Ovis aries: one gene and its partners. The protein of the gene in region 2 binds, or shares a complex with, the protein of the main gene of each other region. Links are inferred from orthologs where the notes say so. Each region holds a gene or a part of one and is shown on either strand. Other genes may lie near its edges. The genes, in order: PRIM1, PRIM2, POLA2 and POLA1.

Region 1 (7,498 bases), on a different chromosome or scaffold from region 2:
TATTACCCAGTGTATGAAAGCACATGAATCTCACAAGATTTTCTGTGAAAAAAATGTGGCCAAATGAATTTGGGATATTCTAAACATCATACTCTCTTTCTGGAGTTTTCCATGCATGTTAGCATATTAAAGACTAGGAAATTTTGCTTAAGTCAACACTTCTCAAACTTATTTGAACTTTTTTTTTTTGCATAATAGTAGCTGAAAAATTTGTGTTCTGTAGAACTCACGAGGAAATGCTCTTCTGGAAGGGCACCATCATACAGCCTCAGAGAAGCTGCCTCTCCAGAAGGGATCTAATCCAATTTACTTCACATTTACAAGTCACAAACAAAAAAGGAGTGATCAGTGATCTGGAACATACCTTATGGTTGGAACAGTAAATGGATCAAACTGATCCACTTTCTGTAAGTCAATAGGCACAGAAATGCGACCTGTGAAAAACAAAAAATTATAAGCTGAATATTGTACAATACAAATAATTATAGGCTGTGTCCTATGAGTTATTTTTGGCTAAAACTTTAAGGCTTAGAAAGAGGGTTACACTAATCTGTTAAGAATATTTATTTAGAAATATAAAAGTACTTTCGGGACTTCCCTGGAGGTCCAATGGTTAAGACTCCACACTTCCGATGCAGGGGGTATGATTCTCTTCCTGCCTAGGGAACTAAGATCCCACATGCCATGTGGCCAAAAAGTTTCAAAAAATACATAAACAGAATAAAATTGGGTCTTAAAAAAAAGTACTTTCATATTAGTGCCTTTTATTTCTCTAAAAACACCAAAAAATAGATGTGAAAGACTGCTGAGCTATTACCTAGTTGCTCTTATATCCATTTTGATTTCTGTTTTTCTCTTCCCTATATCCTCCAATATGTACGTACGGAACAATCTCAAATTTAGTGAGTCCTGAAGATGGAACACAAAATAGATGGAAGTAGTTTACTTCATTACTTTAATTTGCTGAAATCAAAACAGACACCTATGTGTTGAGCATCTTTGGAAATAATATAAATGACATATTACCCTTTTACAAAATCCACATCTGGGACATGAGGATAAAATTCATATCTGAAAAATGAGATAATGAATTTAAAGAATGGCAGGTGACTAACAAAATAATTAAGGAAATTGAGAGTTACGGGTAGAAGGCAGAGTGAAAAGACTATAGCCATTTAATGGGAAAAAGATATAATAAAAATGTATACTTACGAGTGAATGTAATTAGTTACTCAAATCTTGAATATTAAATAAGGGGAATACTCACTGAAGCTTTAGAATATTAAGAGAAACATTAAGAAACATTAAGCTTGTTACCAAAATAAACTAAAAACACATAACTGGCAGATTTGAAAAGGGGCTATATAAATGTATATACTACAGAGTCATTGTAGACTATTAAAGAAAACTAGGCAATGTGGGAGTACTGAATATGTGACAGACACTTTTCTAAGTATTTAACCTTTTAGATCTTCACCATAAACCACTGAGGTATCTACTGTACAGATGTTAAAACCAAGGGTCATTTGCTTAACTTCCCACGGCAAGTGGCAGAGTTGAATTGTTGACACTAAAAAGGATAACTAGATACTTCTAATTGTGTCCTCTAGTTGGATGGAGCAAAGTTTATGCCACTGTATCTACTATCATACTTATTGTAAAGTCAGTTTTAGTCCATCAAATCTTATCCAGAAGAGTGAAAGAAGAAAGCTAAATCTATTGAAAAAGACCTGAGGGAGGCAGCATAGTGGAAAGAGCATGGAATGGAGTATAGTTGCCTTACAGTGTTGTTAATTTCTGCTGTACAGCAAAAGGAACTAGTTCTATGCATACATTACATATACCGCTCCCCTCTTTAAGAGTTCCTTCTCATTTAAGTTACCACAGATAACTGGTACAGGTTCCTGAGCTATACAGTCGGTTCCCATTATTTATTTACATAGTAGAGTATATATGTCAATCCCAATCTCCCAATTCATGCCACCCCCTGCCTCCACCTTGGTAACCAGAAGTCTGTCCTCTACATCTGTGATTCTATTTCTAAAAAGCATGGAACTTTGAGTCTTAAGAACTGAACTCTGTTATCAGTTCTGACATAATTTTTTTATTTTTGGCCACACTACGAGGCTTGTGGGATCTTAGTTCCCCGAATGGCAATAGAACCTGGTCCCCATTAGTGAAAGTGCCAAGTCCTAACCTCCCTGGATCACACCAGGGAATTCCCCAAAATTTGTTTTAAGACTGTGGACAAATCACTTTAACCTCTCGAGCCACTGTTTTCTCATCTGAACAATATGTGCTGCTGTTCTATGATTTTTAAGTTCCTCTCCAACTCTACTTCTAACGCTGAACCTTAGAAACCCAACTGAAAATTATTTACATAGTGGAAACTCATTGAATACCTACTAACTGACAATGGAAAAATAAGTTAATTCAGATACTAGCTGACAGAACAATTCTTCAAGCTTTACTATTTCAGACATTCACACTCAGTGACATGCTTTCTATAACAAAAAATAACTTTGATTTTTCTTTTGTTCTTAATTTTTTAAAAAATAGTACCTGTTTTAGGATGAACACTAAAAGGGCTCTTCAGTAAATGATTGATTCCTTTGCTAACATTGATATCCAGTCGTGGAAAACAATACTGGAGCATGATCTCCCACTCAAGCCAGGGTCCACATTTGTCGTTTTTGTTGTTTTTCTAAAAACAGATGTAAGTCCAGCATGAGGATCAGTAGGAACTTTTGAAGATTTCTTTAAGGTGGTGAAAAAATGATCTTCAACCATCTTTAACTTAGTAAGTGAAAAAATGATAATTTAATTAAGAATTGCATTATTGTATTTGTAATACAGATTTCAATGGAATATACCTGATATTTGTTGATGGTGTTCTTCAAATTCTCCCAACGCTGAAGTGAATTGCTATGCCTTTGGAAGCCTTGTTGAAGTTCATCACGCATTGGTGATGGATCATTAAGGAACATACTCATTTAGGGTACATCAATGAACAACTTATTTTCAATGTGTATTACCACAAGGATATCTAAAGACTACATAGAAAGTAATTATTATTTTCTAAAATACACATATTAAACACAAAACCTTAGAAAAATTCCCCTGTTAAATTGTATTAGGTACGACAGAAAGAATGCCAAAATAGCTTTAAGGTTTAAGGTAAAACTGGTTCGTGATCTGTATATATTTTGATGATCATTTTGTATCCGTTAAGTAGTCACTAATTTTAGGAGGATCAGCTTCCAAAATGAGGAAATTTATTTACAAAACAGCCTCGCTTCTTACTGTATTCCAGACTAGAGATTTTAAAAAAAAATGCAGAAATACAGGAGATGTTTTGTGTAAAAAAGATTAAAACTATATAAGTACATGAGAACATGCAGGTAGAACAAATTTATAATATCACAGGTCAGTACAAGTAGCTCACATAGAAATGGACTTGGGAAAGGATATTTTCAGGAACAAGGGCTAAAATTTTATCCCAGCTTTCTTTATTCTCAAGAATATCTTGATCAACTAAGGCATATTGTTCAAAGTATTTTTTAATTATGTTTATAGATTTTCTGTAGGAACAATAATAACAAAGTCCCAACACTATTAGTGACATATATGGCACACGGCTTTTGTTCACTAGGGAGGCTAGTACTTATTTTCACTGAATTTCTAGAACTTAACTAGATAAAATGGGAATTATACCTCTTCACAGGGTTATGAGAGTTAAATGAAACACTCTAAGGGGAAAGAACCTAGCAAAGTACTTGGCTTAGACTAGATATTCAAGAAATGTTTACTTCTTAAATCCCACAATTTAGAAGGTTCATAGCATCACAGACATGTAACAAGGGCAGAAAGCAACCAAGTCAGGACAATGTAATAATACATCAGTAGTAGGATGTGGGATACAATCAACAGTTTCTATTCTGAATTGCTTGCTTTAGCATCTCAACACTTACAAAGTGCTTTGCAGTTTGAAAATAGACTTTGCATCTACTGTTTTATGTATATATATTTGTACGTTAGGTTACTAGTTTTTATTTCATTATTATTGTTTTTTTGGCTGCACAGCATGCAGCATGCAGGATCTTAGTTCCCCAGTCAGGGACTGAGCCCATGACCCCTGCAGTAGAGGCAGAGAGTCTTAACCACTGGACTGCCAGGGCCCTTCTACTGTTTCATTTAATCTCTGCCACAACTCTGAGATAGATGGAGTAGACACTGTTCTCCCCATACTGATAAGAAACAGAGTCTCTAATATTTTATCAAGGTCATATTAAAGTGGCAGAATAGGGATTCTTACTTCTAATGCAATGCTCTTTCCATTATCCTAGAGAAGTAGTGAATTAAATGGAAAGGGTATGGTCTTTGGGATCAAGCAGACAAGGACATATATGCTGATTTTAATAATTACTTGCATAAAGCCAAACAAATTATACAATCTCTCCACTTATAGATGAGAGATAACCATCATGTATCTAATGCGGTTGTTGTAAAGACCAATAAGAACATTTGTGAAACACCTATCAAGAATACTGGAATGTACAAAACAGACAATTAATTAATTCTGGCTATTATTGTTGTAAAATGCTACCCTGGTGCAGAAAATTGATACAGTAATTCTAAAAGCACATGCAGGTAAATCAGACACAACTTAAACTTCATGGAGTCTTCCCCAACAGACCTGACAAAAGGGTGAATTTTTTCACTTAGGTGAACTTTCTTTTTAACATCTTGACCACCCTGAAAAACAAACCATCAAAAACAAAACAAAACTTCATGTAAGAATCAAAATTTTCTCTAATGTATTCTAAAGATATTGATTAAATTCTGTCAAAGTATAAATCTTGGTTAACTTTACTTGACATACTTGGACCAGAAAAGTAAACTAAACTTCCTTTTGCCACATACAGCAAAATATGAGATATCTTAAAAATGTAACTACTATGATTTTAACTGATCTACTGATAAAATCATTTACTCTGAAATATGAATGCTTAAAAGATAGTTTGCTTTTGTTACTAAACATACAAGGCTGGGTGATGTCTAGCTAATGAAGAAATGTAAACTATCATTAAGAAGACCTTACCTTTACCAGACTCAAATATTCAACTATCCCAGAACGTACTGCAGAGGACAGTTTTCTAACTGATTCATCACAGACCCAACAATGAACACCTCTCCTTCCAGAATATACCCAGAGACGATGTTTAAATCCAAAGTCCTCTGAGGAGGGAAGAAATCATCAGTTTTAAAATAAATTTGTAAATTTCTGGTTCTTGCATATTTCTCTAGCTTGATTTTTTTTTTTACCTCTTATCCACATGTACTCATCTTAACTATACTGCAGTTGACCCTTGAACAAAGTGGGATGCCGACCCTCCCACTAGAAAATCCACATAAAACTTATGGTTGGCCCTCCATAGAAACAGTTCCTTGAACTTCCTGGGTGGCCCAGTGGTTAAGAATCTGCCTGCCAATGCAGGGGACACAAGTTTGATCCTTGGTCAGGGAAAATTCCACATGTCGTGGGGCAGCTAAGCCTGTGTGCCACAACTACTGAGCCTATACTCTGCAATAAGAAAAACCTGCACACTATAACGAAGAATAGCCCTCAACTAGAGAAAGCCCATGTCTAGTGATGAAGACCCAGTGCGGCCAACAAATATGTATGTGTATGGATACACACACACACACACACATATATATATATATAAAAGGACAAGTTCCTCTGCATCAGCAGTTCCTCTATATTTGTGGTTCCACATCTGCAGATTTAACCAACTATGAAGCATATAGTATTGCAGTATTTACTACTGAAAAAAATCTGTATAAGTAGAATTGCGCTGTTCAAACCCATGTTGTTCAAGAGTCAACTGTACATTATTTGTAGTTTCCCATGCTCCCTGAGCTCTTGCTTTCAGTTCTTTACTTATCCTGGTCACTCTGCTAAGAATTTCTTCATGCCCCAGTATTTCCATTTCTCTCCCTGACCAACTGCCATTTCTCTCTAAAGACCCTGGCTAAGAATATTAAAAGAGGTAACACATTTAAAGTGTTTGAAATAGTGCCTGGTACATAATAAGCCTCTTATATAAGTTAGTCATTATCATTCTCATCCTTACCATCACCTCTTCCAGGAAGCCTTTTCTGATCTAATATCTTCCCATTCCTGTATGCACTCCTGCTGTTCTATATCCCCATAGCACCCTGTGCATATTAACACATATGTAATCCTTATTTTTCTTGTTTTCTCCTTAGACTGCATAACTTACTTGAGGTAAGAACTGTTATCTTTCATAGTTCCTCACTTAGGACAGTAACTGGCATGCAAGAATTGCTCAACACATGACTGAACTGGGAAAAAAATTACATGATTTGATCAATAGGTTTATCAAAGTTTTAACTACAACTTTAATCTTTTATTTTCCCATCATATATTTCAAAGAAACATGTCAGAAATTTATGAGACTTGATTATAAAATGGTATAGACAGATTAATATTCAGAAGAAAAAGATTCTTGCACGTGACCCCATTTAGATACTGCTAATACTTGCCTTTCAGTGCTCGGTCGATGATATGTATGGCCATCGTCATGAGGGTCCAGCACTTGGAACATATGTCTGCAGAACTGGGGCAGAATGATCATTACTCACTGTCAGTGATATCACCCACCCTACTAGCAAAGCATGCGGAACTCACCTGCAACATCTCCTCACATCGTCATAGTCTGTCATGTCAATGTCAAACACCAGTTCTTTTTCCTGAGCCTGGAAAGCTCCCAGCTTCACTGTATTGTGTTGATTGGGCTAAAGGGACAAAATATCAATCAGTTTCTGTAAGAGCTGCCACACTGTCATATATGCTTATTTCCTACCTATAAAGAAAAAGGGGCCAAAGAGAAGGAAAGAAACCATATAATGCCAAGTCTGTCAGTGACTGACATAGAAAAGAAGCTCACTGATTTGATCCTATACAGCCAGAAGTGATGCCAGTGTAACTTCCATCTACTAAAAACAAGGTTTGATAAATGTTTTACCATAAGTATGTTTTCTGATCATCCTATTGAGATATAATTGACATAAGACATTGTATAATAAACATTTGTTGATCAGTAGAAATCATAATAAAGCATTTCTAGGTTTCTGATCAGGAAAGGTCCATACAAATAATTAGTAGCCTACTGCAAGATATTTTAAGGACCTTTAGTTGTTATTGGTCATATAAGTAACAAAAATGTGTTTAAAATTTTTCAATAATTCAAAAAGATCTCCCAAGTCAGTCTGGCTCAAGCTCTAAGGAATTTCCTTTGAGGCTATGGACTATCTGGTAAAGAAGGTAGACTGAATGCAAATACTTATTTGGCTTCCTCTAAACCTGCACAAAAATAATTTTTTCTTTTTAAAGATAGGTATAAGTCTTTTTAAAAAGAGAACCAGAGAGGAGACAACACCACCACAATTTTTATAAGGAGATTCAAAAAGC
Region 2 (8,081 bases):
TAAGTTCTTACAACCTTGAAATCATATGGTATACATCAGTTCAGTTCAGTTCAGTTGCTCGGTTGTGTCCGACTGTTTGTGACCCCATGGACTGTAGCATGCCAGGCTTCCCTGTCCAACACCAACTCCCGAAGATTACTCAAACTCATGTCCATCGAGTCGGTGATGATATCCAACCGTCTCATCCTCTGTCGTCCCCTTCTCCTGCCTTCCTTCAATCTTTCCCAGCATCAGGGTCTGTTCCAATGAGTCAGTACTTCGCATCAGGTGGCCAAAGTACTGGAGTTTCAGCTTCAGCATCAGTCCTTCCAACGAATATTAAGGACTGATTTCCTTTAGGATGGACTGGTTTGATCTTCTTGCAGTCCAAGGGACACTCAAGAGTCTTCTCCAACCACAGCATCAATTCTTCAGCGCTCAGCTTTCTTTACAGTCCAACTCTCATATCCATACATACATGGTTTTACGTATTCTGCTCTGTTAAATTCATAGCGTCCTAAACATTTTCCCCGGTCAATATTGTTCAAAAGCATATATATTTACAATATCCAAGACATGGCATCAACCCAGAAGTCCATCATCAGAGAACGGATAAAGATGTGGTACATATGTACGACTCAATATTACTCAGACATAAAAAGGCTTCCCTGGTGACTGACATGGTAAAGATTCTGCTTGTAGTGCAGAAGACCCGTGTTTGATCCCTGGGTTGAAAAGATCCCCTGTAGGAGGAAAGGGCAATCCACTCCAGTGTACTTGGTTGGAGAATTCCAGGGACAGAGGAGCCTGGCAGGCTACAGTTCACGGGGTTGCAAAAAGTCAGACACAACTGAGCAACTAACACTAATACTTTCAGCCATAAAAAGAATTGAAACTATGCCAGTTGCAAAGACTTGGATGGACCTAGAGGGTGTCATACAGAGTGAATAAGGTCAGAAGAATGAATATCACCTATTAATACATACATGTGGAATCTAGAAAAATGGTACAGATGAACCTATCTGCAAAGCCGAAATTGACACAGATGTAGAAAACAAAGGTACAGACACTAAGAGGGGAAGGGAGAGTGGGATGAATTTGGAGATTGGGATTGCCATATATATGCTACTGGGTATAAGATAGATAACCAGTGAGAACGTACTACTGTACAGCACAGGGAAGTCTACTCAATGCTTTATGGTGACAAAGAGGTGATATATGTATATGTATTCACTCTGCTCTACAACAGACAGTAACACAGCCCTGTAGCAAGTAAACCCCAATAATTTTTTTTTTAAGCCTGTGTAATGTCTCACAGGGCTTCCCTGGTGGCTTGGTGGTAAAGAAATATGCCCGCTAATGCAGGTGACACATGTTTGATCCCTGGGTTGGGAAGATCCCTTTGAGAAGGAAATGGAAATCCACTCCATTATCCTTGCCTGGGAAATCCCACGGACAGAGGAGTCTGGTGGGCTCATGGGTTCATGGCATGGTGAAAGAGTTAGACACAACTTAATGACTGAAGTTAATTTCAGGACTTATGGACTTCCCTGGTGGCTCAGACGGTAAAGCGTCTGTCTGTCTATAATGCGGGAGACCTGGGTTCCATCCCTGAGTCGGGAAGATCTGCTGGAGAAGGAAATGGCAATCCACTCCAGTACTATTGCCTGGAAAATCCCATGGATAGAGGAGCCTGGTAGGCTACAGTCCTTGGTGTCGCAAAGAGTCGGACACGACTGAGCGACTTCACTTTCCTTTAATGACTGAACGGTAACAACTGACATATTAGTGAAATTGGTAGTTTTGTGGTTAGCACTGTGGTGCTTGGCTAGTCTCTGAGACTTTGAACCTGGCTCTGCCAGCTACTAAGTGACCTTTGAAGTGACTCAACTTCTCTGTTGTACAATCCGTATCTGTAATGTAGGTTAATAACAGAGACCGCAGCAATGAAATTAAAGGATGCTTGCTTCTTGGAAGGAAAGCTATGACAAACCTAGACAGTGGGTTAAAAAGCAGAGACAACGCTTTTTCAACAAAGGTCTATACGGTCAAAACTATGGTTTTTCCAGTAGTCATGTGCAGATGTGTGAGTTGGACTATAAAGATGGCTGGGCATTGAAGAACTGATGCTTTTGACTTGCGGTGCTGAAGATGGCTTGAGAGTCCCTTGGACTGCAAGGAGATCAACCCTGAATATTAACTGGAAGGACTGATGTTGAATATGGAATACTGCAATACTTTAACCACCTAATGGGAAGAGCTGACTCACTGGAAAAGACCCTGATACTGGGAAAGATTGAAAGCAGAAGGGATGACATAGGTTGAGATGGTTGGATGGCATCATTGACTCAGTGGATATTACTTTGAGCAAACTCTGGAAGATGGTGAAGAACAATGAAGCCTGGTGTGCTGCAGTCCACGGGGTCACAAAGAGTCAGAAGCGACTTAGCAACTGAACAGAACAGAACCTTAAATGGGTTCAGTTCAGTCACTCAGTCGTATCCGACTCTTTGTGACCCCATGGACTGCAGAATACCAGGCCTCTCTGTCCATCACCAGCTCCCGGAGCTTGCTCAAACTCATGTCCATCGAGTCGGTGATGCCACCCAACCTCTGTCGTCCCCTTCTCCTCCCGCCTTCAATCTTTCCCAGCATCAGGGTCTTTTCAAATGAGCCTTTTAAATGGGTTATGGCAATACAATGAACTGACATGTAAGTCCCTCAGAACACGTTCTGGTACAAGGTCAGGGTCAACCCCTGTTTGGCCCAGGCTAGGCAGATGCTCTGAAGCTTGACACTGTTTCAGCTCAGTCTGCATTTCCGAAACCTTGAACGTCTTGACGGCTCCTCCCCTCCTACCTTGACAGGGACTTCTAGAGGCCTCTTTTGTGAGCGAGACCCGCCACCTGGCGGCCTCAGTTCTGAAACGCTGCCGCGCACAGTGGGGGCCGTCGCCTCCCGCGCCTCCCGCGCCTCCCGCGGCCTCGCCGGTCACCGTCCGGCGCCCCGCGGTCTCCTTCCGCAGACGCCGAGCGTTCCTGAGTGCGCACGCGCAAGGCGTGCGTCCCGGCTGGACCGAGGTCCCCCTGCGGACCCTCGCCGCGCACCGAGAGTGCGGAAGGGGCTCGCCGACCAGGAGAAAAGCGGGCTGACCCGCGGTACGCAGGCCGCCTAGCCGCCGCCTCTGTGAGCGGTGAGCCGGGCCTCCCGCTCGCCGGGCTCTCTGAGATTATCACCCAGGGTCCCAGTCTGGAGCCGGTGCTGACCCGGCGCCGACAGCTCAGACCCACGCACACGTAGTGCAGCAGTGAGAGTGACAGTCGCTCCGTCGTGTGCGACTCTTTGCGAACCCACGGACTACACAGGCCATGGGATTCTCCAGGCCAGAACACTGGAGTGAGAAGCTTATCCCTTCTCCGTGGACCTTCTCGACCCAGGGATCGAACCCTAGTATCCTGCATTGCAGGCGGATTCTTTACCAGCTGAGCCACAAGGGAAGCCCAAAATCATCTGGCAGCGGTGGGATTCGAACCCCGACCCCTACAGCCGCTGCTGCCAAGTCGCTTCAGTCATGTCCGACTCTGTGCGACCCTATAGACGGCAGCCCACCAGGCTCCCCCGTCCCTGGGATTCTCCAGGCAAGAACACTGGAGTGGGTTGCCATTTCCTTCTCCAAAGCATGAAAGTGAAGTCGTGTCCGACTCTTAGCGACCCCATGGACTGAAGTCTACCAGGCCCCTCCGTCCATGGGATTCCCCAGGCAAGAGTACTGGAGTGGGGTGCACTGCCTTTTCCAGACCCCTAGAGACTGGATCTTTAATCCAGCGCTTTATCACGGCCACGATACATAGTGCAATACCTACGACAGAAATCCAGAGACCGCCCCACCCAGAGGGCCCCACTGAGCATGCGCAAGCCTGGGCTGGGCGGGCTTGGGGGAGAGGGCGGGCTCCGCGGTCCAGCCATTTCCGCTTCCGGTCCCGTTCGAACTCTCCCGCCACCTGAGGAAAGCTGTTGTCGTGTTTATCTGTGTTTGGTGTAGTTGCAGGTGAGAGGAGCCGCCGGGGTTTGCGAAGAACAGTAACCCTGGGGTTGAGGTGTGCGAGCCTGGAGAATGGGGAGAGCGGCGGGCGCGGGGGGCGCGAGTCCGTCCTGGTTGCTTGTCTAGGCGGAGGCGGGTGCCGGGGCTGACAGACCGCGTTGGCTGAGGGACCGCGGAGGCGGCGTGTCACTCGGCGCCGCTGGACGCTCCGGAGAAGAGCTCCGACGTGCGGCGCCTCGGAGACAGCCGTCAGTTTTCAGGGGTTGTCAGGGAAGAAGCCCACCGAGTCGCGTTCCTAGCCTGAAGCTCCCGCGCTTTCCTCCGAGTTCGGGGTCGCAGCCCTCGGGCAGTCTCAGCCTGACCCTGGAGAGCTCAGAGCCTTCAAGGCGGAGCGCGCAGACGCCTGGAGAACCGCCCGCGTCCCCTGCTGTGGACGTTGCGGGAAGTCACGACCGCTGCCCGCGTCTCCGCAGGGCTCACCTCTCCCCACCGCCTGTGTACCGCGGTTCCAGCGGTGTTGTCGAAGGTCTGGAAGACAGGGACACGACTCAACATGTTGTGCGTGCTCTTCAGAATCAGTTGCCAGGCAGAATGTTTTCCTTTGTGTGTGGAGTTATTTTTTGTTTTTAACTCCATTTCCCACCGTTTTTTGTGCTTGCTTCCAGGGTAACAAGATGGAGTTTTCTGGAGGAAAACGGAGGAAACTGAGGTTGGCAGATGACCAGAGGAATGCTTGCTACCCACATAGCCTTCAGTTTTACTTGCAGCCACCTTCTGGAAACGTATCTTTGACAGAATTTGAAACGTTGGCTATCGATAGAGTTAAATGTGAGTGATTTGAATTTGAATTTTTGTATTCCTGAGAACCTCACTTATACCTTGTAGAGATAAATTAGAGTAATTTATTTCCTTCTTTAATATTTGCTCAGGTTTTTCGTTGAGATTTTGCTGTTCATTCATTTTTTCCATGTACTGTGCATATTTATTGAGTGCCACTTTATTCTAGGCGGTAGGGATTTTGAGCTGAGTAATGAAATTGTCATCTTTGTTGAAGCTGTATTCTAATACATGGAGACAGATGTCCAAAGCAGTAATTATAGTTTAGTATTTTAAGTGCTCTAGTAGAGGTGTTATTGAAACAGATGGGAATGATTGACCTAATCTGATTAAGTGAAACTTCTTAAGAAAAGTTGAAATGTGACCTGGATCTTGAAGCACGAGTAGCAGTTTCTCAATAGAGAGGAAGGGAGCGGTTTTTGCAAGCTGAGCTAATGGTCTGAAGGAAGAGTTGGAAGCACCAGAGAGCGTGAAACACTGGAGGGAAAGGTGGCAAGTTCAGGGTGGGTGGAGAGCTGTGGGTAACCAAGGGTGTTTTGTACCACGCTAATGCTGTGATGGCATCACCGACTCGATGGACGTGAGTTTGAGTGAACTCCGGGAGTTGGTGATGGCCAGGGAGGCCTGGCGCGCTGCGAGGGCGTGCTGTGATTCATGGGGTCGCAAGAGTCGGACACGACTGAGCGACTGAACTGAACTGAATGCTGTGATAAGTGTAAGAAGGATGTAGCGATTTTCTTGAGCCTGCTTGTCTTCTCTGTGTTGGTGGAAGAAAGAAAGAAGTTCGGTGTCAACTGCAACAATAGCACTGCCTGCAGAGTTTATGTTCCAAAGCATATCCTGATGGGGAGATCAGAAGTAGAAGTGAGATACTGTTAGTCATTCTTAGAAGAGCTGGGTGAGAATTGCTAGTACAGAGTACCTGTATTATCTGTTTGCTGAATAAAAGAGTAAAGGGCAGGGAGAATGGGTTCTGGGAAGCTTAGCATGGGTTCTGCGATGCCTCATAGAGGTTAAGTGGTTGAAAAGGGTCCCTTCAGTTTGGCCCTGGAGGTGAGATGGTGAGGCAGGGACAGGAAGGGAGACATGGAAGGGATACCAAGGAGGTGTAAGTGACAGGGTTTGATGACTGCTTGGGTGTGAGGAACAGGGGATCAGGTGAGGAGGGCTGAAGTTCCAGGGTGGCTGATCTCGTGGGTAGAAATGCTGCTGTTAGAGGTGGGTGGCAGGAAGAGGAGCAGGATTGAGGGGCAGAGAATGAGTTTGGTTTGGGAGACCATAATACGGAGTCCCTGCTGGACATGGCCTCAGGATTCATTTCAGAAGTTTTTCATTCTCAAATTAATCTCTCTTTTCTCACCAATGGAAGAAGAATTCATCCGAGGAAGAGTTGACAGGGGCTTCAGGAGCCTTTGGACAGAGCGAAGCATCTAGTCAGAGTGGCTTGTTTGCTGCTTTACTGCTGTGTCTTCTTCTCTGCTTCATCAGGAAGGGGCTGGCTATCTTCCGAAGAGTCTGTGCTGAGTTGGTGAAGCACCCGCCTCACAACCGGCTCAGCACGAGGGCTGGATGCGCACGCTGACACACTTGTGCATCCCTCAGCAGTGATGCTCAGTACATCATGATTGTCCCCATCCCTCTCTCCCTTCCAGTTGAGAATCCCTGGTATGAGGTTATGCTGTGGGATGTGGTTATTTTCTGCATATGGTTGGAGGTTATTCTCTTATAAACATATATAACATGTAATGTGCTTGCAGAAAATGAAGCTTAAGTATTGTTATAAAAAGTAATTATGGAATTGCTATCCATAGATTTGTCTTAGATTTAGTTTTTTAAGATTACCTTGCATTTATACATTTCCCCCCACCTTTCTTCTGTTTTTCAAATTTTTTCTAGTGCTAAAAACAGTTGAGAATCTTGGTGTGAGCTACATGAAGGGAACTGAACAGTATCAGAGTAAGCTGGAGGCTGAGCTTCGGAAGCTCAAATTTTCCTACAGAGTAAGTAAAAGAGGGACAGAGATGTTCCTTCAGTTTGTGTGTGTACTGGTAGTGACCATAGGAAAGGTCTTGTATTATGCACAGGGCTTTAAAAAAACTTCCTGAAGGAACCTACCGACCACGAGGGATGATTGACATACAGTCAAACTCCAGTGCGGCAGGGTGTCTCCACCTTAGGAATGTGAACATGCGGGACCTGATGATTCCATGGTGCATTTAGGGGGCTCACTGGCATCTCTGGCTTCTGGGCTCTGTTTCCAGATATTGCCAGATGTGTCCTGTGCAGTCAAGGTGACAAATGCTGTTATTTGATGTGTTCCAGGAACTCTGTTTTGCTCTCCTGGTGGCTCAGTGGTAAAAAATCTGCCTGCTAACGCAGGAGTTGTGGATTCTCTCCCTGAGTCGGGAAGATCCCCTGGAGATGGAAGTGGCACCCCACTGCAGTATTCTTGCCTGGGAAATCCCATGGACAGAGGAGCCTGGCGGGCTACAGTCCATGGGGTTGCAAAAGAGTGGGTGGGACATGACTTAACAACTAAATAACAACCAGGAACTCCAAAAGTACAGATAATTAGCTCAGGTTGGGGAGGGCTTCCCAGATGAGATAGTGCTGGAACCGAATCTCAATGGATGTGATCTCATTTTTATTTTGAGAAGATGAATATGGGAATACCAATCAGGAGCTTGGAGATGACAAGTAAATTGAATGGAGTGAAGAGGACTGATTGAAGAGATAGTGAGAAGATGGAATCATAAGATTATAGAGATTGAGTACAAGGAGGAGGAACAAGAGTTCTGAGTGATGCTTGGGTTTCTGGTGATGACAGCTGGGTGGATCGTGGGATATACAGGAGAGGAGGCAAGTCTTACTAGAAAGAAGACTGAGTTTAGTTCTCGTTGTAACTCTGAGGTGCTTGTGGAGCTATCTTGAGGGCTGCAGGGTGTGCAGCAGATCTGGGCTTGAAGACAGGTGGTGGAACAGTCGTAGTGTTTGGAGGAGAGAGGTGAGAGATGAATGTGGAATATTTCCTCTTCTAACATGTCCAGCTGAGAAGACCGGGGAGGTAGGTCTGAGTATAGGAAAATCTGAAGGGAGAAGATAACACGTTACAGCATATATTTGAACATATTTATAAGCTGAGCAGAACGATCTGGAAGAGAAGAAAGGGCGATTGTAGATATTTTGGGAGAACTTTGGATTAGTCATGATCCTTAGGAGGCAG
Region 3 (7,498 bases), on a different chromosome or scaffold from region 2:
TGAACTCTTACACCACACCCTCTAAGGTACGTGTACCCTGTTTGGAAATTGCATTCTACACGTAGCATGTTTTTTTCTTTATTCTAAAAATATCAGCACAGCATTTGAAGTTCTGAAGGAGAAAATTAGCCACTCATACAGTTCCTACTCTATTTACACGTATGCATCTTCCTTTCCGATCATGTGCGTAGATGATTTTACATGATGGCCGCTTTTGTGGACACATAGTTATCCTTTCTTCAGTTAGCATATCATAAAATTTTTATCAATGTAGTTTCTCCATAATTGCTCTTTTTTAGTGGGTGTCTAGTTTTGTCTCAAGTGGAGGCTCTATAAATATTGCTTATCCAGTTTAGGTGTTGGACCCCACGCTAAGAGGTGGAATAGAGCAGTGGAAAGGCACTGTCCTCAAAGCCTGAGTCAAAGACCTCAGTGACCTTGAGTGAGCTGCTTTTATCTCTCTGAGCTGCCATGTCCTTTGCTGCATAATCAGGGTTCATTCATTCGCTTACTGAGCAACTACTATGTGCCAGACACTGGATGAACTGGTGGATGGAGCAGGCAAGGTTGTGCTCTGCCCTCAAGAAGCCAGTAGCCAGCAGATAATACCCTGTGATATTATCTTAAATATCTTGAAGGGCTTGAAAACATGTAAATGAACATGTAAAGTGCCAAACCCAAAGCAATGTATTCAGTAATCATAGTTAGTCTCTACAGAAAATGAATTTGTGGCAATCCTTAAACAAGGAGCAAGCCTTAATCTATCAAAGTAAATCATACTGTAAGAAAGAAGACGATAGGGGAATTCCCTGGCAAGAACTTGGTGCTCTCACTGCCAGGGCCCTGGGTTCAGTCTCTGATCTGGGAACTAAGATCCCACAAGCCACGCTGCACAGCCCCCCACCCAAAAAACAGAAGGAAGGAAAGGTGAGTCATTTACATGTGCCTGTGGAAAGCAAGAAAGCTAAAATGTTCACAGCATCAGGGTTGTTCATATTTGGGAGGACTGACTTGTGGTAACTCAACTCTCAGTAGACTGACACGTAAATCAGATACAAATTTACTTAATTTACTGTTGAAGTACACAGCTTTCTGATGGCTGAAATACCATATTGAGGACACCCCATTCCTGCTACAAAAGTACTCAGGAGGCTCAATCACAGATCAAAGTTTGGCCATGGAAACATAGCTAAGAGATGAGCTGAAATGGGTGAACAATTTGAAATATGCATCTGGAGCTCAGAGGAGAGGCAGACTGGATCTGGGGTAGAAACAGGAAAAAGACTTGAACAGTGCCCAGCATGTGGGAACTCGGGCATCAGCGCAGCACGATGACAGGGTCAGAGCCCAGGGCTGGCCTTTCCCACCCAGACTGGTGCCAGGGGCAGGAGGGCCCATGTTGCAGAGGTGAATATGTCAGTGGTTTTAGCTTGTCACCATTAAATATTTACCTTGTGCAATGACAGCTACTCTTTTTAAATTTTTTAATATTTATTTATTTCTTTGACTGTGCCGGGTCTTAGTTGCAGCATGTAGGATCTAGTTCCCTGACCAGGGACTGAACCCAGGCTCCCCTCCATTGGGAGTGCAGAGTCCGAGCCACTGGATCACCAGGGAAGTCCCACCAGCTGCTCTTTTGCCCCTGTGCTCACCATAAATCTTCTGGTTGTAGTCCGACTTTCCACATGTCCTGCCTGACAGAGAAAGATGTATCAGCCTGGGGATTTGAAGTTCCCATGCTTCTGGCATCTTTTTTCTAATAAATGAATAATCTGGCTAAAATTTGGGTTCCTGTGTGCTCTGAGGATGAGTTCCCCCCAGGGTGTGAGACTGCAGTCCCTCTGTATGTCTCATTATGGGTGGGTAAACCAGCCAATAGTATTAGCAGTGAGTCTCCTGAGCTTGCTGCGAGTGAGCACACCCCAGGAACGTCTCGAGCTGGTTTGCTGGCACAATCAGGCTTCACCACGTGGCTGAGGGCTGAGCCCCAAGGCTCTGCTCTTTCCCAGAGTCCTGTCCTCTTGCTTCATCCTGGGAGATGGACCTGGAGCTCTGTAGCCCCCTATGTATTAGAAGGGTCTTCGGGAAAAATAGTTTGAGAAAAACCTATTGAAACCGTAAAATCTTTGCCATCGTTTGGCCCAGTAATCGCTCCTAGTAAGAATCTCTCATAAGAAATTATCCAAATTCCAGGAAAAGCTATTGTGTGATAGTGAGCACCTCAGTATTTGTTGTCTCCAGAAACAGATACACCCAACAACAGAGAAGTAGTTACGTAAACTATTATATATCAATTCCATCAACACAGCTACCAGAAAGGATGAAGACTGACAATGTGGGAGAAATGCTCAGAATTAATATAGAGCAAAAAACTCATAATATACAATACTTCAATGAAGGATCATATTCAAACTAAGATTATAACTATTAGAATTTTTTCAATTGGAAAAATATTGAAATACTAGAAAGGAGTATTTTTAAATGGCTGTTGTATAAGTGTAGCACATAAGGAAGGGTCCTTTTAAAATCTAGTTTCCATTCCAGCCACTTAAGGGTGGTTTCGAATCCTGCTTTCTTTCTCCTTGCCTGTCCCTAGTCACCCCGTAGGCAGCTTTGGTGGCATAACCTAAACCCGCAGCCAGGAGGAGCCCAAGGGCAGGGGAACGCTGGCCAACTAGCCAGCTGCCTGGTTTCCCTCCAGCCGAGGATTTTGTCTTTGCTCAGCCACAGTCCGTTGTCCCAGACTCTGGGGAGCAAGGGATCTCGGGATTTGCCGGTTTCACCCTCCACTCCAGGCATCTCTTTGGATTCTTCTTGATGAGCAAAACCACCCAGAAAACAAAACTGACCATCAGTGAGGCGTGTGCTAAATACTCTCCAAGTATGAGCTCACCCGTGTTATCTGCCTGGAGTCACTCCCTTCTTTAATTCTGAAAATGTGTGGTAGACTTTGCCAGAATAAATAGTAACATGGTCCCATCCCTTGACAGGAAAATGTGTCCGTGCAGGTTAAAACTATGTGTGTAGCCAAACTCCCAGCTGTGCTAAAGCAGAGAGGTGGGGAAGGAAAATGAACACGCGAGCGATTTGACAGGACAGATCGCCTGCTTGGCAGTCCTGTCGGGGGATGTTGTTGGCATTTGTTTCTTAGTTGCCTCCCAAATGGAGACAGCGTACTGCCGAGGACTGTATTACAGTTGCTAAAGTCTGAGATTCTGCTTGAAAGATGGGGCCTTCAGAAGAAACCCAGCCCTGTGTGGTCTGTGCCCTTCATCCGGGCACGTCCCCCCTTTTTTCCTAAGGATATGCGTGCTTCACTTAGCAACCCGAGTCTAGAGTAACTGCGCCCTTCTCCTGCTTTGCTTCTAGGGTTCTCAGAAGCGAACTATCACTACCCCAGAAACCCCCCTCACAAAAAGAAGTGTGTCTGCTCGGAGCCCCCATCAGCTCCTCTCACCATCGAGTTTCTCTCCAAGGTATGGATTCTGATAATTCAGCTGTCAGGCAGCAGGCCCGCCCTCCCCTCTCTCTGGTTACCTGGTAGAGGCTGACACTACAACCTGACTTAAGGAAGAGAGGTGGACGTTTCCCTCTGCAGTCGACTGGCTAGAAGACCGACTGCTCCCTCCCCTCCCCGCCCTCATCCTGTGTGGAAAGTTACTGTTTCTTACTGGTAGTTAAGGAAACTCACTTTCCACCCTCTTTTCTAGGGCTCATTTCCTAGCTCAGAACCTGATACCTCCTACCAAAAACAACCTGTCTATTCAGAAGTTGGGGAGCCTGCAAGTCTCTTGCCAGGAGGAGGCTAATAGGTTTCCACCTGCTTCTGTTAGTTCATGTGTTGTTGGGTTTCTTTCTTTCTTCTTTTTTTTTAGGTATTTATTTTTAAAAAAGAAAAGCACATATCTTTGTTCATAACATTGCGTAACCTGTTCTTTGTTCCTCACTCAGGTTACAGCTAGTTGCTGAGAGTTTTCTTGTCCCTGAACCTACCCCAACTTCATTGGTATTTTATCCCTGCTGCCACTTCTGCACATAAATCCACAGGGATCACGTGTGACTTTTGGAAATCCATAAATGACACGTGTTCCATGAGAGAATTCCGTAGTGGGAGCTCTGCTGAGGAGAAGAAAGGGCTTTAGGTGCTGCCGCATCGGGATGGGGCAAAGGAACGGTGGCGTGAGCCAGTTAGGGCGACACTGGCTGCCAGGAGTCACTTCTAGACCAAGCAGAGCTTAAGACTTGCCAACCTAAGACTTTTCTGTCACATCAGAAAGGAGGTGATAGGGACCTCCCTGGGAGTCCAGTGGTTAGAACTCGGCACTTTCACTGCCGTAGTCCCAGGTTTGATCCCTGTCAGGGAACTAAGATCCCACAAGCCACTTGGTAGGGCCAAAACACACGAAAGAAAGAAAGGGAGTGCTAGCATTGTTCAAGATCAGAACGGGGTCAGATTCTTTTTTTCTTCAATTTTTTAATTTATTTATTTGGCTCGGCCTAGTCTTTGTTAGAGAAGGCAGTGGCAACCCACTGCAGTACTCTTGCCTGGAAAACCCCAATGGATGGAGGAGCCTGGTAGGCTGCAGTCCATGGGGTCGCTAAGAGTCGGATACAACTGAAGCAACTTAGCAACAGCAGCAGCAGTCATAGCTGTGGCACGTGGAATCTTTAGTTGTGGCATGTGAACTCTTGGTTGCAGCCTACAGGATCTAGTTCCCCAACCAGCGGTTGAACCCCGGGCCCCCTGCATTGGGAGCACAGAGTCTTAGGCCCTGGACCACCGGGGAAGTCCTCTGAAAGGTAGTTGGATCCTGAGGGCGGATTTGACTTTAGTGTGGCCCACTCCTGCTTTCAGGAGTTTTCACCCTGGCTTCCGAATAGAACTGTGTAGACTTAGAAGGGCATCTTTGGATGCACAGAGATGGCTGGTTACAGAGTGGTTCTCGTAGGTGCCAGCACCATGGCAGCAGTTCTGTTCTCTCAACAGCAAGACTTTGAAACTTGCAGATCTGTTTGCAACAAACCCCGCGTGAGCATCTCCCTGGGTTAAAGGGCCGGCTGTAATGTGTGCCGCACAGAGCTTCGCAGGGAGGAGCTTGGCGCAGCTGAGATGCCCTGCCTCGTCATTCTGTAACGCATGCCAGTAAAGCTGACATCAGAAACTGGCTTCGTAATTTATGAAAGTAACTTCTAAATTATTCAGGTGGAGGCAGCACTGGAGACAGAGGTCATTAGTCAAGCTCGTTTGCTGCAGCCTCTGTGGAAAGGAGGAACTGGCAGCACCCACTGTAACAGTGCCTATGTAGAACTGGTTCCCGCAGGGTTTCAGGGCATTAAATGAAGCCTGTTGTAAGCAGGCCTCTTGGTGCACTGTTCACAACCAAAGGCTTAGAAGACCTCGCTGTCCTCTAAGCAGATCAGCAACACTGTGTGTCCTCGGAGGTGGAATTTATCAGCGAATGAGGAGAAATACGAGAACTTGCCGATTGAGACTTGGAGAGTGGGAGTGTTTGTTCACTAGCTGACAGAATTCATTACCTGCCCACCTCCAGAGATCCTGGGGAAAGCTGATTCCCTTTCATTTAACTTCATTTTGTTACTGTTTCTGCCTTGAACTATGTCATGAGGGGTTATGTGTGCACAGAGCAGCTTTTGACTTATCCACAGTTCCAGGCTCCGATGATATTCTAACAAGTGCTAAAAATTCATAAGAAAGAAAATAGTACTCGAAACTGGCTCTTTAATCAATTCAGAGTTTGGGTTTTGTTTTACTTTGTTAGTTTTAAGCCAGGAGAAGACCTTTTAAACTGCGTCTCTGTGTCTAAGCTTTTCTAAACACGTTTGGTATTCCTCAACCCCCCTCATTCCTGAAATTCCTTAAAGGTCCAGAATGTCCAACCCCATTAAGCTGATTAGATTTATAAAATGTGAGGCCAGGCTGGCATGCCTCCAATCCCAAATTTCCGAGAGGTAGCCTCATCTTAGACTCCTCTCTCCTTTTAGATATGAACGCGGTAACGTTGATGTCTTTTGCTTCCAATCAGTGCTACTCCCCCTCAGAAATACAGCTCAAGAAGTAACCGGGGAGAAGTGGTTACCTCCTTTGGCTCGGCACAGGGCGTGTCTTGGTCCGGGAGTGGAGGAACTAGTCACCTCAGCCTGAAGGTCTTGGGACATCCAGAGCCGCTCACCCGGAGCTACAAATACATGTTTCAGAAGCTCCCAGACATTCGAGAAGGTATTTGTTTTTCCCTTTGACATTCTGGAGGGTATAAAACCACCTGGAAGGGCTTGAATCAGTAACAAAGTGTCAGCTAGGCTGGTAGAACAAGTTCAAGGTTGCCTTTGATTGATAGATGTCCTCTGGGCACCCCTATTAGGAAACAGATATAAGATGACCACTCTCAATAATTCTCCCGAATCACAATCACTTTGCTAAGAAAAAGCACACAACCATTTCCCAGTAACAGCCGCTTGAACTGTGTAAAGGAAGCCAATTACAGTGTTAAAGGAAGCGGAGACATTTATGGCTTCTTCCTTGGAAAGACTGGAAGGCTCTTCGGGTTGTTCTTGGCTTCCCTGAAACCCCCCTGACCACCTGAGTAAGAGGGAGGGTGGGGAGGGAGCCAGGCTGACCTTGGGACTGTGACCTCATCCGTGACCCCCTCCCTCCCCCCACCATGGCCAAATGGAAGGCCGGGTTCAGCAACCAAATATCGGGCAATTGGCTCGGGCTTGAGAAACTTACAGACCGGCTGGTGTCCTCGGCTGCCTGCCTGCTTCTGTAAAATGACTGACTTTAATGTTTTACAAGGTGCTATGTTTTCTCTGCTTGGCAAGTAAAATGTCTTAAACATGCTTTTTCCCTCTGGGATTTCAGTTCTGACCTGTAAGATAGAAGAACTTGGCAGTGAACTCAAGGAACATTATAAGATTGAGGCTTTTGCTCCCATTCTAGTCCCAGCACAGGTAAGAGTTGTTCTAATAGTCTTTTCTGATGGATATTGTTTTATTAAATCAATGATGAAAAGTCAGCCTCTGGCTTCCTTTTCACTAACTGTCTACCTTCTAGTTAGAACATCTACCTTGGATGAATTTGGTAAAATGGGTTGTAAGTGCTGCCTGGTTTTGTGACCAGATTAAGTCGTTTTCTTTGCGCTTGAGTTAGAGTCTTGCATGTAAACAAGATTGAGGGCCTTAAGCATTCAAGTGTCAGGATATGAGAACAGCAGCAAAGTGAGGATTTCCAGAAACAGTGACTCATGGTCTTTCCCCTTCTTTGGTCTCTGTCATCAGGGATCAAGTGCTGTGAACAGCGTCTGCGTCATAGTTTAATCTGGCTCGTGCACAGTGCTTTCTCTCTAGCGTGTACTTTAAGGGGAGATGTGTTCTCAGAGTTTCTTTACGGGGCCTCTGTCACATATTTGCATTCAGAGGAGAATGGCCAGCTGGGGAAGATATGCAAAACCATGTCATATAAGGAAGATTTGGGGGAGTT
Region 4 (7,498 bases), on a different chromosome or scaffold from region 2:
CTGTTGACAGTAATGTCTCTGCTTTTTAATATGCTGTCTAGCTTAGTCATAACTTTCCTTCTAAGGAGTAAGCGTCTTTTAATTTCATGGCTGCAGTCACCATCTGCAGTGATTTTGGAGCCCCCCAAAAATAAAGTCTGACACTGTTTCCACTGTTTACCCATCTGTTTGCCATGAAGTGATGGGACTGGATGCCATGATCTTCGTTTTCTGAATGTTGAGTTTTAAGCCATCTTTTTCACTCTCCTCTTTCAGTTTCATGAAAAGGCTCTTTAGTTCTAATTCACTTTCTGCCATAAGGGTGGTGTCATCTGCATATCTGAGGTGATTGATATTTCTCCTGGCAATCTTGATTCCAGCTTGTGCTTCTTCCAGCCCAGCGTTTCTCATGATGTACTCTGCATAGAAGTTAAATAAGCAAGGTGACAATGTACAGCCTTGATGTACTCCTTTTCCTGTTTGGAACCAGTCTGTTGTTTCATGTCCAATTCTAACTGTTGCTTCCTGACCTGCATATAGGTTTCTCAAGAGGCAGTTCAGGTGATCTGGTATTCCCATCTCTTTCAAAATTTTCCAGTTTCTTGTGATCCACACAGTCAAAGGCTTTGGTATAGTCAATAAAGCAGAAATAAGATGTTTCTCTGGAACTCTCTTGTTTTTTCGATGATCCAGCACATGTTGGCAGTTTGATCTCTGGTTCCTCTGCCTTTTCTAAAACCAGCTTGAACATCTGGAAGTTCATGGTTCACGTACTGCTGAAGCCTAGCTTGGAGAATTTTAAGCATTACTTTACTAGTGTGTGAGATGAGTGCAATTGTGCTGTAATTTGAGCATTCTTTGGCATTGCCTTTTTTTGGGATTGGAATGAAAACTGACCTTTTCCAGTCCTGTGGCCACTGCTGAGTTTTCCAAATTTGCTGGCATATTGGGTGCAGCACCTTCAGAGCATCATCTTTTAGGATTTGAAATAGCTCAACTGGAATTCCATCATGTCCAGTAGCATTGTTAGTAGTGATACTTCCTAAGGCCCACTTGACGTCACACTCCAGGATGTCTGGGTGTAGGTGAGTGATCACACCGTCGTGATTATCTGGGTCGTGAAGCTCTTTTTTTGTACAGTTCTTTGTGTATTCTTGCCACCTCTTAATATCTTCTGCTTCTGTTAGGTCCATACCATTTCTGTCCTTTATTATGCCCATCTTTGCATGAAATGTTCCCTTGGTATCTCTAATTTTCTCGAAGAGATCTCTTGTCTTTCCCATTCTAGAATAAGCATAATTCACACAATGGAAATTATTAGTACAGACTTGGAAAATATGGTTATCTTTTTGAGTTTTTTTTTTTTTATTCAGGATAGTTTTGTTTCAGTGTTTTCAACAAGTTTCTTATTTGAACTATGGAGTGATATCTGTTTATTTTGTTGCATATTGATTAAAAGTCAAAATCAGTTGTGTTTGAACTCAGTTCTTTAAGAAGAAACTGGATGTACTTCCTGAGTTTTCTAAGAAGTCTATGTAAACTGTCACACAGCACAGCTGGGTTCTTGGTTGTTAAGGAAGTAAAATGAAATTATTTGAATACAGCTTCTACTGATGACCTGAAAAGTATGGGACATTAAAATTTGCATTTTCCTGAGAGACTGTGAGGTGTAAGTTGCAAATTAAAAGACATCATATGAACCTGGCATCAATTAGAATAAAATAAAGTTTATTCCAGCAATCTGCTTAGCAGCCTTGTTAATGTCAAGGCTAATGAATGCTGCTGATGAATAAATTCCTGAAGAAGAAAGGACCCCCGTCGGAGGTAAGCTCATGATGCCTTCAATTAGAGACCAGAAAAAGAAAGGGCAGAGAAATTCTATGCATTATGATGATAAATCCTTTAATTTGTGTTTCTTTTAATGTTATTGGCTACATTCTTTTTCTGACTAGGGTCATAATATTTATGGTTTTGAACTGGAAGTGCTACTGCAGAGAATTAATGTGTGCAAAGTTCCTTTCTGGTCCAAGATAGGTCGGCTGAAGCGATCCAACATGCCGAAGCTTGGGGTAATCATAATTTTCAAATCTTTCTTCTCTGTTTTGGCTTCTGTATATTGAGTAGCTACCAGGTTGCACCTTGTGCTTTTTTGATTTGGAATCAGGACTGCCTTATGATAGGACATTTTAACTTTAGCACTAAACACCTTTTCCTTTGAATTCAGTATTTTATTAGTAACCACTGGTAATTTTAAAATTTAACTTTTAGAATCTAGAGATAGCACGTGCTTATTAGCTCCACTTGGGCATCCCTAAGAAACAGCTGTGGGGTTCAGGAAGGAGATGGGAAGGAAGAATGGGAGGGATCAGACACTGAGTGGGCTGCATATTTGTCCTCTCTCTGAGCAATTGCAGGTTTAGGGGTACATTCTCACAGAGGGGACAGAGCTTGTTCAAGATCCTAGAGCTAGTAAAGGCAAGAACTATAATTTTGAACCCAGGCCCCATCTGACTTTTGGAAGGCTTGTCCCTTTTCATTCTGCCTGCTTGCTTGATAAAGGGGGCTTGTGGTGGGTTTTGGATGAAGCACCTTCATTTCCTAAACTCTGACACTGCTCTTTGCTTGAAATCTTTACTTAAATCTTACCAGTGAACCAGAATGCTGCTTCATCAGAGAACTTAGGAATCTGTACCTTTTGTAACATTCTCCAGAGAATTCTGCTGCTGCAGATTGGAGTTGGGAGCCAGTGCTCTTGCTTCTTTTCCTGTTCATCTCTTTAAGACAATAGAGTCGTTATTAACACATCATCCAGATGCTGGCATTGCTTACTCCTTACCCGCTTCAGGGTTCTTTATATGGCATCTTCTCAGTGTGGTCTACCCTGACCACCCTGTTTAAGATGTAGTTCCTGCAAATTCCTTGTTCCCGTCACCATGTTCTATTATCCATATACTTATTACCTCCCAAAATTATATAATTTTTTTAGTTGTATATTTCAAATGAGATCAGGTATCTTTTCTACTTTGCTAACCGCTGTATCCCTTATATTCTGAGTGTCCAGAACAGTGTCAGATACACAGTCAATGTTCAAAAATATATGAGTGATGGCTGAATGAATGCATGAATGGAAGAATGAAAGTTTCATCATTGTAGTTTTGGGGCTAGTCTCAAATCAAGTTAGAACGAAATGTCAGTGTCTGCTCTTCCATGGGATTTGCTTTTTGTCCTCACCTGTAGGGCAGGAGTGGATTTGGTGAAAAAAATGCTACCTGTGGCCGAATGATCTGTGATGTGGAAATTTCGGCGAAGGAACTGATTCGGTGTAAAAGCTACCATTTATCTGAACTTGTTCAACAGATTTTGAAAACTGAAAGGATTGTAATCCCAATTGAAAATATACGAAACATGTACAGGTATGATCCTGGATGCTTCAGAATTTCTCTGTCTTGAAATTAACTGAAATGCCAGAATCATCCTTAGGCTGGAGGAACAGGAGCGTGTGGTGCTGTGGAGGGGAAAATTGTCTGTCTTCATGTCAGCATCACATCTCCATTCCTTTAGTGATGTGAATTATTTTGCCTTTTGAATTATTCTAATTTTATCATAATATCTCCCTCATTTAACACCATCTTGATGTTTCCTGAGAGCAGTTTGGAAATTGATGTGATATTTAGGTTTCCACCCTTAATTCATTAATTCAGAAATTAATGCAAATATTTTGGAAATATAAAATCTGAAAAGTCATTCAATTATCTGGAGATATTGCTCCTTATTTCTTTTTTCCAGCCTTGTTGAGGTCAAATTGACAAATAAAGATTGCATTTTATTTAAGGTATACAGCTTGATGTTTGATACACATTGTGAAAAAATCATGACAGTTAAGCTAATTAGCACACTCATCACCTCACACAAGCACTAATTTTTTCTTTTCTTTTTTGTGATGAGGACACTTAAGATTTCTTCCTCTTAGGAAGTTTCATGTGTATAATACATTATTCACTGCCATCACATTGCTATACATTAGATTTCTGGAACTTAATTCATTTTGCATAATGTAAACTTTTGCTTGATTATTTCTTACATAAGGTTTCTCCTACCCCTATGGCCATTTTGCATTCTTTTCTGCCTGTTCCTCCCGAGTTCTCAAACTGCTTTTCTTTCTGACTGCGCTCCCTGCCTGGGTGATCTCATCGAGTTGCAGGAATTTCAATACCACGTGGGTGCTGATGCCTCCTCTGAGTATATCTTCACTTTGGACGTCTCCCCTGAATTCAGACTCATGTCTCTACCTCCCTGTTCTGCTTAATGTCTGATATGAGCCTCCAACTCAGCCTGTTCCACAACTGAGCTCCTGACTTTCTCTTCCTTGTTTCTCTTACTTTTCCAGTATCACTGGAAACCTCCAGAGTCATCCTCAGCCTGGAACCTCTGAGGCATCTATGATTCCTTTCTCTGACATCTTATGTTCCATGCATCAGGAAATCCTGTCAGCTCCATCTTCAAAATATGTCTCTATGCCACTTCTTTTCTCTTCACTTGGACCCACCCTGGTCCAAGCCACCATCCTCTTTCTCCTGGGTCACTGGGTCTTATATTAGCCTCCTTACTTGTCTCTTTGCTTTTGCCCTTGACTCCTTGTTGTCTGTTCTCAACCCAGAAACGAGAGTTTCTGTGCTGAAGTAAAGTTGGATATGGCACTGTACTTAAAATCTCCTAGTGACTTTCTGTTTCATTCAGAGTAAAAACCAAAGCACTTATTATGACTTAAAAGGTCTTATACAGTGGGTATCTCTGCCATTAATTCTGTCCTTATCTTCTCTTATTCTCCATCATTCTCTGTATTGCAGCCATTGGTCTTGTTCTTGATATTGGAACTGCGAGATTTATGCTCAGACTAGGGCATACTTTTTTTTTAATTAAAAATTTTTTTTTGAATGTGCTGTTCTGTCTGCCTGGAATGTTCTTCCCTCAGATTTACCCATCTGAAAGAATTACCCTCTCACCTCTTGTGGGTCTTTATTCTCAGTGGACTCTTCCTTGGTTCCCTAACTAAAATTTGTCTCTGCTCTTGACCCTTAATATTCCCTTCTTAACTTTTCTTCTTAACACTTAGCCTTATTTAACATACCACATATTAAAATTTTAAGTTGTATCCTACCTCCCCCATAAGGATAGGAATTTTTATCTCTTTTGTTCACCGCCAGAATTTAGAACAATGTCTGGCATAGAGTGGGTATGTAATACATATTTAGTGGATGAAATGAATGAAAGGATTTAGGGCGTTTTCAGATTGTAGTTAGCATATAACTTTATCTTAGTGTGATTTTTTTTGTTTGTTTTAGAGAAAGGCATTGGGATCAATGGTATGAATGAATTCCTAATTTCATACTGAACTTATTTTAAATTGTTTCCAGTGTGAGGTGCCATTGGCTCTGAAGTTACATAACCAAAAATTTTTAATAATGCTTTATGAAATTCTAATTTTAATCATTGTTTCTTTTAATTACTTGATTCTGTTTCATTCTTACTTTTCTGTACAGTGACTCTTCTCATCTGTTGTACCTGTTGGAGCATACCTGGAAAGATGCCAGGTTCATTTTGCAGATCATGTGTGAGCTAAATGTTCTTCCATTAGCATTGCAGATCACTAACATCGCTGGGAACATTATGGTAAATTTAACTTAGAAAGGGGAAAAAGCATTTCCTGTTGGATCCAATGTTTTCTTGGGGTAGTTGTTATATGATAATGAGTCTAAATGCATGCTTATAAAATGAGTAACTTGTATTTTGAAAGCTGGGCTTCTTTTGTAAAATGAAGAACTGCTTGGGAGAGGGGGAGGAAAGCCAGGTGCAGTGTGTTGAAATTTGGGGGAACATAAGGATTGTCTCTGACATCTGGATGTGTCTGATTTGTGGAATGGTCCATTTGAGAGTAAAGAAATAGCCGAGTTGTGGGTATTTTAAGCTCTCTTTGTCTCCTTTTAACTGTAATGCTTAAAGAAGCTGCTGGAAATAATTAATACCCCCCCTTTTTTTTAAACCAGCCCTTGATATGGTGAGTGAATTTGAAGGAGGTGCTATGATTAAATTTATCAATTTGATTTGCTTTTGTTTATTGTGGTTTTGAGCTCAAGTTTTTTTTTTTAATTCTATTTAATAGTCTAGGACGCTGATGGGTGGACGATCTGAGCGTAATGAGTTCTTATTACTTCATGCATTTTATGAAAACAACTATATTGTGCCTGACAAGCAGACTTTCAGAAAGCCTCAGCAGAAACTGGTGGGTCCAAAATTATATAGTGTTTTGCTTTTTTATATCCCCCCTTTTTATTAACAAGATTGTTTCTTTGGGCTGTGATAACATCTACTTCCCAGATAAGTAGAAACTATCCTGTTTGCTCCATTGTTTTGGTATGGTCATTTCCTTCTCTACTTTTCTCTATACAGATAAAAATTATTTGTGAAATATGAAATTCTTTGAGGGAGGCATTAGGCCTCTGATGCGTGACCATAGATGGAAATTGTTTTGCTGGGTTAGCACTACCAGTTGAACCTTTTATTTCCTTGAACCCCTAAGCCTTACTTTTTATGTTGTGTGGTTGCATTTTTATATTCTAGTAGGATTAAGGTCACCACAGTCAGGTTTCTGAAGTAGTCTCCATCACACCAGAAATAAAACTTAGCTTAGCTGCTGTCTTATCAGCACGGATAGTAATCAATTTAGAATGGGAGTTTAATGTTAAAATGACTCAGATTCTTTTGTTGTGCTTGTTTTACATACATTATTAAAAACTAGTGAAGTATTAACTTAGAGGAGTTTGACTTCTGCTGAGTATTAAATGTTTGCTAATTAAACTACTTGGAAAAGAATTTTCAGCATATGGACATACTTATTTTAAGGTATCCATATTAATAATAAGAATAATGGTAATAGCTAAATAAAATAGTTTGTATTTTTATATCGTGAATGTTAGAGTAATGAATATAAGAGAATTCTTAGAATCTCAAATTTTACATGGCACGAATAGTTGAATTGTTAGTGTCCATTGATTTAGAAATGTGAAGTTCTATTCAGAAATATTTTAAAGTGGAATTTGCATATTTATCACCTCAGATACAGTGTTTGTTTTGGTAAGTACCATGCTTGGCATTCATTTGGATTCATGAACATGTTACAGTAACTGTCTTTCCCTAGAGGACTATTAACTGAAAGTAAAGTATCTGTTAGAACTGTGTACTGCAGTTGGAAAGGGGGAAATCATAAACCTTCTAAATTGGTTCATGAGTTGCTGGCTGGTGAAGTTATCTTCCATTTGATATTAGGGAGATGAAGATGAAGACATTGATGGAGACACCAATAAATACAAAAAAGGACGTAAGAAAGCAGCTTATTCTGGAGGCTTGGTCTTGGACCCCAAAGTTGGTAAGGCTGGGCTTTGTCCCTGATGTGAAGGGACTTCTTAATGCAGTCAGCTTGAGAAACTAAAAGACCTGACTTGTGTTTTGTATGTTAGCGAAT

Evidence for each region.
Region 1: the proteins of PRIM2 (region 2) and PRIM1 are in contact, whole or in part, in a crystal structure (PDB 5EXR), measured with the Homo sapiens proteins. The link is inferred for Ovis aries from reciprocal best matches to the Homo sapiens genes PRIM2 and PRIM1. Residues at the interface, in NP_000938.2 of Homo sapiens: Glu165, Ala168, Ser169, Pro171, Ser172, Phe188, Ala189, Leu192, Phe195, Arg196, Gly197, Arg198, Val200, Tyr201, Leu202, Glu203, Asp204, Gly205, Phe206; in NP_000937.1 of Homo sapiens: Lys147, Glu148, Asp149, Phe150, Gly151, Phe152, Ala180, Val181, Gly184, Ile185, Glu187, Tyr188, Ser190, Leu191, Lys193, Lys207, Ile208, His209, Pro210, Ile212, Arg213.
Region 3: PRIM2 (region 2) and POLA2 share a complex: the UniProt entries of both Homo sapiens proteins name them as parts of the alpha DNA polymerase complex. The link is inferred for Ovis aries from reciprocal best matches to the Homo sapiens genes PRIM2 and POLA2.
Region 4: the proteins of PRIM2 (region 2) and POLA1 are in contact, whole or in part, in a cryo-EM structure (PDB 8G9F), measured with the Xenopus laevis proteins. The link is inferred for Ovis aries from reciprocal best matches to the Homo sapiens genes PRIM2 and POLA1. Residues at the interface, in XP_018121015.1 of Xenopus laevis: Pro34, Pro35, Thr36, Glu37, Asn38, Ile39, Ser40, Leu41, Ile42, Phe44, Glu45, Ile49, Ile107, Phe110, Ile111, Leu114, Cys117, Gln118, Ser119, Glu120, Asp121, Arg123, Ala240, Arg241, Leu243, Val245, Val246, Gln247, Arg251, Leu252; in NP_001082055.1 of Xenopus laevis: Leu842, Lys853, Ile894, Pro895, Glu896, Leu971, His974, Arg977, Glu978, Leu981, His982, Glu985, Gln988, Lys989, Asn991, Glu993, Asn1007, Asn1009, Arg1101, Asp1102, Glu1106, Gln1109, Glu1221, Asp1224, Gly1225, Asp1227, Ala1229, Leu1230, Met1233, Trp1234.

The regions. Positions count from the first base shown.
Region 1 is NC_056056.1:162,922,561-162,930,058, reverse strand, and holds part of PRIM1 (DNA primase small subunit), read right to left. Parts: intron 6,823-7,498; coding exon 6,716-6,822; intron 6,645-6,715; coding exon 6,571-6,644; intron 5,239-6,570; coding exon 5,102-5,238; intron 4,756-5,101; coding exon 4,697-4,755; intron 3,582-4,696; coding exon 3,472-3,581; intron 2,966-3,471; coding exon 2,874-2,965; intron 2,705-2,873; coding exon 2,563-2,704; intron 435-2,562; coding exon 365-434; intron 1-364. UniProt on the Homo sapiens protein: Catalytic subunit of the DNA primase complex and component of the DNA polymerase alpha complex (also known as the alpha DNA polymerase-primase complex - primosome/replisome) which play an essential role in the initiation of DNA synthesis.
Region 2 is NC_056073.1:3,040,945-3,049,025, reverse strand, and holds the start of PRIM2 (DNA primase large subunit), read left to right. Parts: upstream 1-3,943; 5' UTR 3,944-4,076; intron 4,077-4,686; 5' UTR 4,687-4,695; coding exon 4,696-4,849; intron 4,850-6,754; coding exon 6,755-6,858; intron 6,859-8,081. UniProt on the Homo sapiens protein: Regulatory subunit of the DNA primase complex and component of the DNA polymerase alpha complex (also known as the alpha DNA polymerase-primase complex) which play an essential role in the initiation of DNA synthesis.
Region 3 is NC_056074.1:39,929,896-39,937,393, forward strand, and holds part of POLA2 (DNA polymerase alpha subunit B), read left to right. Parts: coding exon 1-26; intron 27-3,369; coding exon 3,370-3,476; intron 3,477-6,044; coding exon 6,045-6,238; intron 6,239-6,880; coding exon 6,881-6,969; intron 6,970-7,498. UniProt on the Homo sapiens protein: Accessory subunit of the DNA polymerase alpha complex (also known as the alpha DNA polymerase-primase complex) which plays an essential role in the initiation of DNA synthesis.
Region 4 is NC_056080.1:23,028,091-23,035,588, forward strand, and holds part of POLA1 (DNA polymerase alpha catalytic subunit), read left to right. Parts: intron 1-1,931; coding exon 1,932-2,048; intron 2,049-3,216; coding exon 3,217-3,392; intron 3,393-5,519; coding exon 5,520-5,649; intron 5,650-6,139; coding exon 6,140-6,259; intron 6,260-7,302; coding exon 7,303-7,402; intron 7,403-7,498. UniProt on the Homo sapiens protein: Catalytic subunit of the DNA polymerase alpha complex (also known as the alpha DNA polymerase-primase complex) which plays an essential role in the initiation of DNA synthesis.